3 linked regions of the Danio rerio genome follow. The protein of the gene in region 2 interacts with the protein of the main gene of each other region in a biochemical or structural test. Links are inferred from orthologs where the notes say so. Each region holds a gene or a part of one and is shown on either strand. Other genes may lie near its edges. The genes, in order: chek1, csnk2b and tnfaip1.

The links.
Region 1: of the proteins of csnk2b (region 2) and chek1, one has a biochemical effect on the other in vitro, tested with the Homo sapiens proteins (2 studies listed by BioGRID, with this or other methods). The link is inferred for Danio rerio from reciprocal best matches to the Homo sapiens genes CSNK2B and CHEK1.
Region 3: the proteins of csnk2b (region 2) and tnfaip1 form a complex in vitro, tested with the Homo sapiens proteins (2 studies listed by BioGRID, with this or other methods). The link is inferred for Danio rerio from reciprocal best matches to the Homo sapiens genes CSNK2B and TNFAIP1.

What each region holds. Positions count from the first base shown.
Region 1 is NC_133196.1:24,024,012-24,026,444, forward strand, and holds the end of chek1 (serine/threonine-protein kinase Chk1), read left to right. Parts: intron 1-309; coding exon 310-441; intron 442-542; coding exon 543-644; intron 645-1,394; coding exon 1,395-1,487; 3' UTR 1,488-1,775; downstream 1,776-2,433. Other genes in the region: vsig10l2 (V-set and immunoglobulin domain-containing protein 10-like 2), read right to left, coding at 2,298-2,398. UniProt on the Homo sapiens protein: Serine/threonine-protein kinase which is required for checkpoint-mediated cell cycle arrest and activation of DNA repair in response to the presence of DNA damage or unreplicated DNA.
Region 2 is NC_133194.1:29,149,631-29,153,897, forward strand, and holds the start of csnk2b (casein kinase II subunit beta), read right to left. Parts: upstream 2,950-4,267; 5' UTR 2,914-2,949; intron 2,307-2,913; 5' UTR 2,298-2,306; coding exon 2,226-2,297; intron 1-2,225. UniProt on the Homo sapiens protein: Regulatory subunit of casein kinase II/CK2.
Region 3 is NC_133190.1:23,033,534-23,037,195, reverse strand, and holds part of tnfaip1 (BTB/POZ domain-containing adapter for CUL3-mediated RhoA degradation protein 2), read right to left. Parts: intron 2,814-3,662; coding exon 2,730-2,813; intron 2,636-2,729; coding exon 2,583-2,635; intron 2,500-2,582; coding exon 2,304-2,499; intron 1-2,303. UniProt on the Homo sapiens protein: Substrate-specific adapter of a BCR (BTB-CUL3-RBX1) E3 ubiquitin-protein ligase complex involved in regulation of cytoskeleton structure.

The sequences.
Region 1 (2,433 bases), on a different chromosome or scaffold from region 2:
AATTTCAATACAGTTAATAATAATTATACAGTATTTTTCAGAAAAAAAGTTACATCTGCTCTAAATTGCATAGTTAATATTTAGATTTGTTGCGATTTGTAGTTTTATTCAGGAAAATAGGCTCCACAATGAATCTTTTAAATTTCACAGTATTCAGAACAGAACAAATAATGACAATTAAAATAGGCTGAATGTTCATATTTAGTTTTGGTTTTGCCTTGGTTAAAATGGTTTTATTCCATGGTAATGGAATGTCACATCTAATTTGGCTCAATGTGATTAATGATTTATTATGGTTATTTTTTTCAGAGCCCCTGGCAGCGTTTGGTGAGGAGAATGACCAGGTTCTTTACTACAGAAAATACAGAGGCATCTTGCATTGCTCTCCGTGATTCTTGTATTGCTTTGGGTCACACATGGAAACAGAGCTGTAATAATCAGGTAACCAGATAATATGTAACATATTTAGCATTTTAAATAATCAAAGACAGATCTCAAACCATATAATGAACTGATCTTGTTTACATCCCCTTTATTAATAGGCGACAGTGTCTACAATGGATCGTCGCAATAATAAGCTGATATTCATAGTGCACTTCCTGGAAATGGAGGAACGTATTTTAGTTGATTTCCGGCTGTCAAAGGTGAGCTATAAATTATTAATTACTTTTATGCTGTCACTAGCTACATTTAAATCCACCTATTTTTATGCGCATTTTGGATATGCGCATAAAACGGTTGATGGAAACGCCATGATGCGCACAAATTTGAAAATATGCATAAAAAACATGCGCATAACTGAGTAGGATAAACTTTTTTTTCCAATAAGAAAAGATGCGCATAAACTTTGATATAACACTTTTACCAAACAAATTCCAGTATGCGTATTAAAAAGGTCATGTGTTTTTGTTTTAAGAGATCATGTGGTGAATGTGAATGAACAAACCAGCAGGCTGAGCACTGTAAAACATCTAAAATGCTGTAACCATTTTAGTATTAGTGTTATTATATTATCAATGACCTCCAGAATTGTCCAGAGCATGTGTGCTCCGCATCTCATGCCTTTAAATGCCACCACACATTCATTGCATATCATTATTTGTCTTCTGAGACACAAGTAATTTATTAAATAAACAAATTTATTAAAACAGCTTCTCCAACCGCTGCAAGTTCTGTTTTTACTTTTGATATTTGGCGGCAGTTAATCAGGAAGTGACGATTTTAGTTTTGTGCATCAATTTACTTAGCATCTTTTGATGGACACATAGCTACTGACTTGTTAATCAACACAACTAAAATAATCAGATTATTGAAATGCAAACAATAACCATAGCATTTTAAAATTATAAATAATGTAACTGATTTGATTAAAGCTCTGTTTTTTTGTATTCTAGGGTGACGGTTTGGAATTCAAGCGAATATTCCTGAAACTCAAACAGAAGCTGTCTGACATTATTAGCAACCAAAAGGTTTTGCCATTGATTTGATGCATATACACATTTTACCATGCAAAGCCTGCCTTCACATGAGCACACACACACACACACACACTAAATTGTTATATGTTTGTGGTATGTGTTGTGATCTGTTTGTCTGAAGTTGTATATGTCTGTTTTGTTGATCCACGAGTGAAGGAATGAAGAGAAATTGTCAGGTATAGTTTGTCTGTTCATGTTTCGTTACTGTGACAAAGAGGGTTTTAGTTTTCTACCTCCTAAATAGATTGTAGGGTTCAGAACATCACAAAAAATGGAAAATAAATCCACTTTTAATAACTCTGTTTGGCTTCGGTTTTAAATTATAAAAAGTATGATCTGTATGAAACATCACATTAACTTCCAGTCCTGTTCAGCTTTTGTTTTATTAAAACACTGAGTTCAGAAAATAGTGCCTTTTGCTTACAATGCTTTAAAAATACCAAATTATCACTAGCTTAAACAATCGGTTTGCCTTAACACATTTGATTTTGATGCAAATAAAATCCCTTTTGCTTGTATGTAGGATTGCTGACTACCTTCTTAAACAGTGTAGCAAAAAATATAGCAGCAATCCAGCTGTAAATTGACAAAATGTGCTTGTAGTTAATCAGACGCTGTTACTTAAATGGTAGACACTTGTTAGTAAACACTTAAACTGATCTTAGTATAAAATTATATTCACAAAATGTAAAACACAAAATGATTTTTCTTTCTTTTATAGTTTTCTTCTATTGATGATGAAAATGTGTTCTTGATCCTCAGAGTGTATTCTCCTGTAGTACATTTATGATAGAAACGTGAATATTATTAGCCTCGTATTTAGCTGGAGGCCATGACAGTTATAGTTACGTTGACTGGCTCTTTGCCTGGGGGAAGGTTCGTAGGTGTTGCTGTTGGCCTTGGCAGTGCCATTGATGCCGCTGAAAGAGAAGGTTTTTTGTTGAAGTGAGAGAAA
Region 2 (4,267 bases):
ATGCGACAAACAAAACATAATTAGATTTTCACAATATTTTGATTTATTAAGGATCTGTTTTAAACTTTCTTTTCAATGGCTTAAAGTTTGTGGGAGTGTTGACAGTTCTCGCGCACACAGAACGAACAGTACAAAATGGGTCAAGGAGAGATTTTCCACTACTTAATCGCTTGCGGATGTTTGTTGATATTGGGCGGATACAAAAAAAGTGTAAAAGGAAGATGATGATGATGATAATAATAATAATAGTTAAAAAAAAAAAAAGTGTCACTAAATATACTTGAGCGGACGCTTGATATACCTGGGCAGCCTGCCCAAGTAAAGCCTATGCATGGGAAGCACTGAAAATTCATTCCTACAACATCGTTTCAGAATCAGCACAAAGGTGATGCTCATGTCTACTGGCAGGGCTCGAAATTAAACATTTTGCATGGTAGCACTGGTGCTCCCGACTTTAAAAAGCAAAAATTTAGTCGCACCCACCAATTATAAGCACTGTTACTACAAGTTTTAATGTTATATTAAGCGATTTACTGCAATTATATTAGCTGCAATATAAGTTGTATGTCGATAAATGCAAGCCACTTTGCGATGGTGTTCGTGGTGTTACATTTTACATATAGCGCCACCTGCACAGCTGACAGCATCCTAACGATTTAGTCATTTTCATAGCGAACTTTTAACACTGGAAGTCTTTTATCCACTCTTGGAAAAGAGTAAACGCTGGATTGACATTAACCACATGACCACTAATCAGACGTGTCTTTATTTGTAACTTTAGGTGTTTTCTAAAACTAAATCTGTCAGTGTTTTCTTTTTTTCATCTTCAGTGCTCTACATGTTCGCGATTGTAGCTCTCCCTGTCATCTAAAGAAAGCCATCGACCAAGTGATTGACAGCTGATATTAACCAATTTGTTCGCATTCAGTTCTAGAGCAGTGGGCCAATCAGAAGAGCTTGAGGGTGGGGCAAGCATTGTGCGCTTTATGGCAGCAAGTTGACTTAACAACTGTTTTAAACTATTCATGAGCGCTGCATTTGGCGTCTCAGGTGCTAAGATGCATTCTGCGCGAATGACTCCTAAATCTGCATGTGTGGTGAACATTTTGCAGTGAAAACCGGTCGCACGGCACCAATATTATGCAGTCACACAAATGCTCCTAAATATATTTGGAGGTCGCATGGATAAAATTTTGCCCGCATATGCGACCAAAACAGTCGCAATTTCGAGCCCTGAACGGTGATTTCAACTGCAGTTTATACCCAATCAATATTGAAAAGATGAAAGTACAAGTGTGCGAATATAAAACTAACTTTACCTCAATAACATCTCACATCATATGTAATCGCTTAATCAGTAAAACTGCATGTAAATGTGTCATCTACCTTAATTTAGTGTGTATTTCTAAGATATAAACTCGAAAGAATAGTTTTTTTGCCTAAACATTGACACAATTAGGAGCTTTTCTTTTTATTAACGCATTAGAAGTTAGGCATGGGCCAGTATAAGATTCTGACGATATGATTACCTTGGATAAAAACACAACGGTTTCATGGTATTCATGGTGCTCTAAAATATATCCTTTTTAAATGTCTGAGTAAAAAAAAATTAAAACTGTTTTCCCTGTAGAACACAATATATTTTAATTTGAGTAACATTTAAGTATTTTGGAGCAGTAAACATGTCAAGCTGAATAATTCAAAAGAATCATTGACTTCTGTCGACTCCTTTAGTTTCAAAAACACTGATTTCTTTACAATTTAAAACTGCATCTTTGGATATCTTTTCTGCTGGAGATACTTCCATCCTAAAAACCTTAAAAAAAACCCACTTACATATACCGTAGGATCGGTACAGCAGAAAATATTGAAAGTTTTAAAACCTTGACTTTTCCAAGCCATGGTATAACTTGAAAACAGTTATCGCACCATGCCTATTAAACGTAGCAGAATACATTGTACAAACTATACAGCAACTGGATGTAATAATCTAGGCTTTGCTGGATAATGGAACCATTTAACATTTTATTAATGTGCAAGTTCTTTCAGTAAAAAAGGTCATCAAACATGTTCAATAAACCACAAAACTGCAATTCTATCTTCATTATATGCCTGTATATGTCTTCAAACAAAAGGCACACACCGATTTTTTTTAACTGTGTATTATTACACACCTGCTTATTATACAACATAACAGAATAACTTACAAAGATGACAATACAAACCTCACAGAAGAATTCATTTCCCCGTAGACCACAAAACCAAGAAATCCACGACACTTCCTCTGAGCTACTCATGTTGGGAAACTAAAAAAAAGCAGATTAACAATTAGTCACTGTAAAAAGTAGCAGTCACTATTAATAATACAAGAAAGGGTCACTTTAATAGTAACATACGACAATTTTACTGAAAATAGGTTAATACTGCCCTGTTAATAAGTCTCGGGTAGCAAATTATATTGCGTTGCTAATACGTTTAAGATGAGTACATGTTTATAACAAACTGCATCGAGTCTAAACAGTTTTCACGTAAACAATTGACTGGACTGGTCTGACGCACGCTAGCATAGCCTGCTGGTCACATTTTAAGCCTCATGACGAATACAGTAAAATACATATGCACAATAGTTCCATCTAAGGCCGAAAAAACATTGTGATGTTTAACAGCCAGGCAAGAGTTTTAATAAGTGTTGATTTTCTGGTTTGTGTGCTCAGCTAATGCTAGGTGTGGTTAGCTTGCCGCTGCTTCAAACTAGGCCGCATCAAATTCGCCGACTGATCCACAATTATGTAAAACGGGGAGCGTCGTGATGTGTGAAATAAACTGCGAATTAAAATAAATAGATGCTAATTAACATAACGTCGAAATTACTTCACATCCCTGCTCATAATAGCGATAAAAGCGTTTACTGACGTTACCTCAAGGATCTCCCGGGGTCGATGTTAGCCGCAGCGACACAACTGTACGCTGATTGGAGGCTTCCGCTGTGCATCACGTGATCACAAGTCACCTCACTTCCGCTCACGTCGCTGATCTTGTAGGAGTTGTAGTTTCTGAGTTGTAGAGTCGTTCCTTTTCTATATTCACTTTTTGGTTTCCTTGCATTCGTTTTCGTGTAATATTCTATTGATGCGATCAATTACTTAGGTCAGAAAAACTGATATTTCAATGAAAGTAACTGACACGTGATCCGTAGCTGGCGGGCATGTCACTTTTATTCATTCATTCATTTGTCTTTTTGGCTTAACTTTAGTCCCTTTATTAATCAAGGCTTGCCACAGCGAAATGAACCGCCAACTTATCCAGCATATGTTTTACGCAGCAGATGCCCTTCCAACTGCTACCCAACTCTGGGAAACATCCATGCACACTCATTTACACTTGTACATTAAAGGCCAATTTTAGCTTAATTCAACTCACATTCTTCATCCTTTTTTTTTTTTTGACTTGTGGGAAAACCGGAGCACCCGGAGAAAACCCACTCGAAAACGGGGAGAACATGCAAACTCCACACAGAAATGTCAACTGACCCAGCCGGGCAGTGGTGTCCCTAGAAAATTTTCTTAGGGATGGCCAGAAGAGGCTGCACCAAATCTTGGGGTGCCACACAAAAAATAATGAATTCAGCAAAAAGTTATTCTTTTGTTTTTGGTAAATATATTAATGTGGTTTTAATTCATTTAACTAATTACTCTTGAAATATTGCAATTTATTCCTTGAAATATTTCAGCAAGTACATGTGCAAACCAAATAAAAATATATTTATTATTATTATTTAGATATTTAGTTTAAAAACACTCCTCATATAACATACTTTTCAGTTAATTTTACATACCTTTATCGTACAGCATACAGTATAAACCATGTCTAAAATTATTGAAGATTAATTAATAAATTAATACTACACACAAATGAACAAACTAAACAAAAAGCAATACTACACACACACAACACACACTAAACAGACGCTAATAATATAATTTATCCATATTCCTTTTTGAGCCACACTGTTATTGTCACAGCGACGCAGAAGGTAGCACTGTCGCCTCACAGCAAGAAGGTCGCTGGTTCGAGCCTCGGCTGGGTCAGTTGGCGTTTCTGTGTGGAGTTTGCATGTTCTCCCTGCGTTTGCGTGAGTTTCTTCTGGGTGCTCCAGTTTCCCCCACAGTCCAAAGACATGCATTACGGGTGAATTGGGTAAGCTAAATTGTCAGTAGTGTATGAGTGTGTGTGTGTGTGGATGTTACCCAGAGATTGATTGTGGCTG
Region 3 (3,662 bases), on a different chromosome or scaffold from region 2:
TTTACAGCTCTAAACAAAAATATAAATGATAAATGATCTTAAATAAAACAAATACATGTATAGAGATGGTATAAATGTATATAATTTTACTCACATAGGAAACAGAGACCACGTGAATGGTTTGTGAGCACAATTAAGTGCACAAGGCATCCCATATTATCTGATAATTGTAAGAAATAATTCCAAAAGGAAACTGTGTAAAGCCACATAAAACAACACAAAAATATGATGTTTATGCCGAGTTCAGTGGCTAATCTGCCGGAGTCAGCTGAGGTGAAATGACGGTGAACAGCGAGACCTAGCTGTCACTCAAGTGGCCACGCCCTTAATTATGCAAACTTAATATAGCCTAATATAAAGGAAACGGATTAGTTATAAAAAAATTCAGCCCCCTCACAGTTGTCATGAAGGGCAATATGAGCTATATGAACCAAAATCGTTTCTTGTATGAGGATGTAAACACCTTTTTTTTCTGCTGTGAAGCTGGCCATTGTAACAGTGGGCTCAAATGAAATTTGCTCTATTATGGAGCCAGGACTAGCAGAATTTCGATGAATTGCATTTTCAGTTACTTTTGTATTGGCTTCCCAAGGGAGAGCGTGAGGTTGCCGCTTGGTAAAAAAACAGAATGCTCTTCAACGGTTCCCATTGTAATACAAATTTACAGTCTTCACTCATGTTCATATATTCTAACTTAGGGGTGTCCAAACTCTTTTTTGGAGGGCCGGTGTCCTGCAAAGTTTAGTTCCAACCCCAATCATTCACACATGGACTAGCTAATCAAGCTCTTACTAGGCTTTCCTAGAAATATCTTGCAGGTGTGTTGAGGCAAGCCAGAGCTAAAATCTGCAGGACACTGGCCCTCTAGGACAGAATTTTGACATCTCTGCTCTAACTCATCCATTATAGCTTTATCAATTAATCATAATAATAAATTAATTAAGCCTGCAGTAATTAATAAAAAAAAAGACATTTGACTACAAATGAGATTTTGAAAAAAGAGCCGTTTCATTCTCCTCAAACAGCAGTTCTCCAGCAGTGCTATTGAACAGTGTTTGTTTCAATAGATAAAGTTTTGTGAAAGATTTATTTCTTGTATAAAGTCATTAAAGGCATAGTTCACCCAAAAATGAAGATGTACTCAGTATTTTCTTACCCTCAAGTGATTCCAAACCTTTATGGTTTTTTTTTTATTCTGTTGAACAAAAAAGATTTTTGAAAAGCTGAAAACTGTCAACATTGACTTCTATAGGAAAAACAAATACTATGCAAGTCAATGGTGACAAGTTTCCAACATTTTTCAAAATATCTTCCTTTTTGTTTAACAGAACAAAACTCAAAAGTGTGTAAAACAAAAATGTGCATGTTAAAACTGTTAAATAGTACAAATACAGTACAAGTAATACATGATGACATAGTAAAGCCTATACAAAGCATACACCTGCTCATCAGAAGAGTGGTCAAAACTAGTCAACCAATATGGGTTTTTTTGAAGGTCGATATTAATATTTGTGGAAAGCAGGATAGCAGATATTCAGCTGATATAATTGTACACATTTTAATTAATAACATCTGAATTCAATTGCAATAAAATTTATTTTAAAATATAAGAAAAAAAATTTTAATTAATAAGATCTTATAGCCAATTCTGATTTTGCAAGATTTGGGAAATGAAATGTTGATTAGTTATTCAAATACTTGTTTAAATAATATAAATATATATCAGCTGAATGGCGATGACGTATAAGAATGCATTGTTTTGCCTTTATTACTAATTAAAGCAGCAATACACATGTATACATTATAATTACTTTGTTTAAAAGTTCTTTGTTATCTGATTATTAGACTAAGACAGAACCGAATGACGACAGCAAACAAAAAGGGAGAACATGAACAGTGTGCTCAGGTGCTGCGGATCTCAGCACTTCAAAATAAAAAGTGCTGTGGATGATATGCAAATGTCACCTATGAAATGTATAGCTGAAATATGCATATACAGTTAATGCAAAATGTGGGGTCACAGTTAAGGGGCTAGAGCAGGGGAGGCCAACCCTGTTCCTGGAGAGCCACATTCCTGCAGATTTCAGTTGCAACAAATATCAAACACACCTGCCTGTAATTATCACATGGTGTTCAGGTCGTAATTAATTGGTTCAGGTGTGTTTGATTTGGGTAGCAACTGAAATCTGCAGGAAGGTGGCTCTCCAGGAACAGTGTTGGCCACCCTTGGGTTAGAGTCCCTCGTCTGATCGACAAAAACGCATCCTAATACCAGGTGTAAACAAGGCCAAAGAGTATCTTACCTTTGTTTGCTTCTTCTCAGTAGCATAAACGATGGATGTGCAGCAGACCTCAGCAAGTTTGCGGTGCTGTCCGTAAAAAGACCAGCAGCAAATTTCATCTCCAATTACATCTTTAATGAAGAGCACACGACCGCTGTAGCTCAGAGACAGCTTCTCAAACAGCTCGATATTCTTGAGCAGGTTGTCATCAGAGTTGCTTTTGAGGAAGATTAAGATCCATCAAAAAAAAAAAGGAATCGAGTCTGTCAAAAAGTGACATTAAAGCATAATCATAGTTACCTTGTATAGGAATATTTGTTATTTCCTCGATTGTATAGAAGCTTTACAACAGGCTGTAAGTAGAAAATAATGATGACATTTAGAAATGTAGCTTATCTTGTTTTTTTTTAAAGATTAAATATTTGCATTTTTGCAAAAGAGTCTCACCCTCACACATGCTTGTATCAGTCTCTCCTCCTCTTTAGGAGATGTTATGACCGGGATTACACACAGAGCCTTTTCCTTATTGTCCTGCAAACCAACAAAAATAAAAATACATAAGCAAGCAACCGACAAAGGTTCAATTTTTTCAATAATATGAATTGACAAACTTGTCAGATAATAACAACATGCAACTAGTTTTATAACCAAAACTGACATTTATAGACAAACCCATTGTGGGCTTCAGGATTTTTAAACAATTGTTTTCATTAACAACTTTGTTAAAACAATCATGTTTAATAAAGGAATTCATGGAATAAAACGACACTACTCATGATGATATTCAAAACTATTCCACCAATTAATAAGAAAAGTGTGCAAAAAGTCCTTCATTCTATCAATTGGCATTTTCCATGCTTCATGGGATTCTTTTCTTTGTGAAAGCCACAGAGTATTTTTCTGATTTTCAAATATTCCTTTGATTCACGTCCAAACAGCTGGATGGTTTGATTTATGGTTTAGAGACCCTTCAGCTTTTTTTCTAACAGTCCCCATTTAACGATTAAAATTATCCCCAACTTGGTTTTTAGCAATGCACTCTTAATGCTCCGGTTGCCATAGAAACACACAGTACAAAAAGACTGGCTGGTCCAGTCTCCATTATATTTTTTTTAACACACCAGTTAAGAATAAGCAACTTGTATAGGACATTTCATGGCAGATTCTGCATTATAATATAATTATTTTATTCAAGCATTTAAAATTTCTCTATCAACGGTTAGACTCTGATTTTTTAAATATTTTAACTTTAATGCCTGGAGGTGCAGCACATTTCTGTGCAGAGCAAACAGACAATGACTTTTAAGCAATGAACTAAATTATTTCTTTCTGCTAAATGCATATGATTTATTTCACATATTAAACATTTTGGAAGCAACA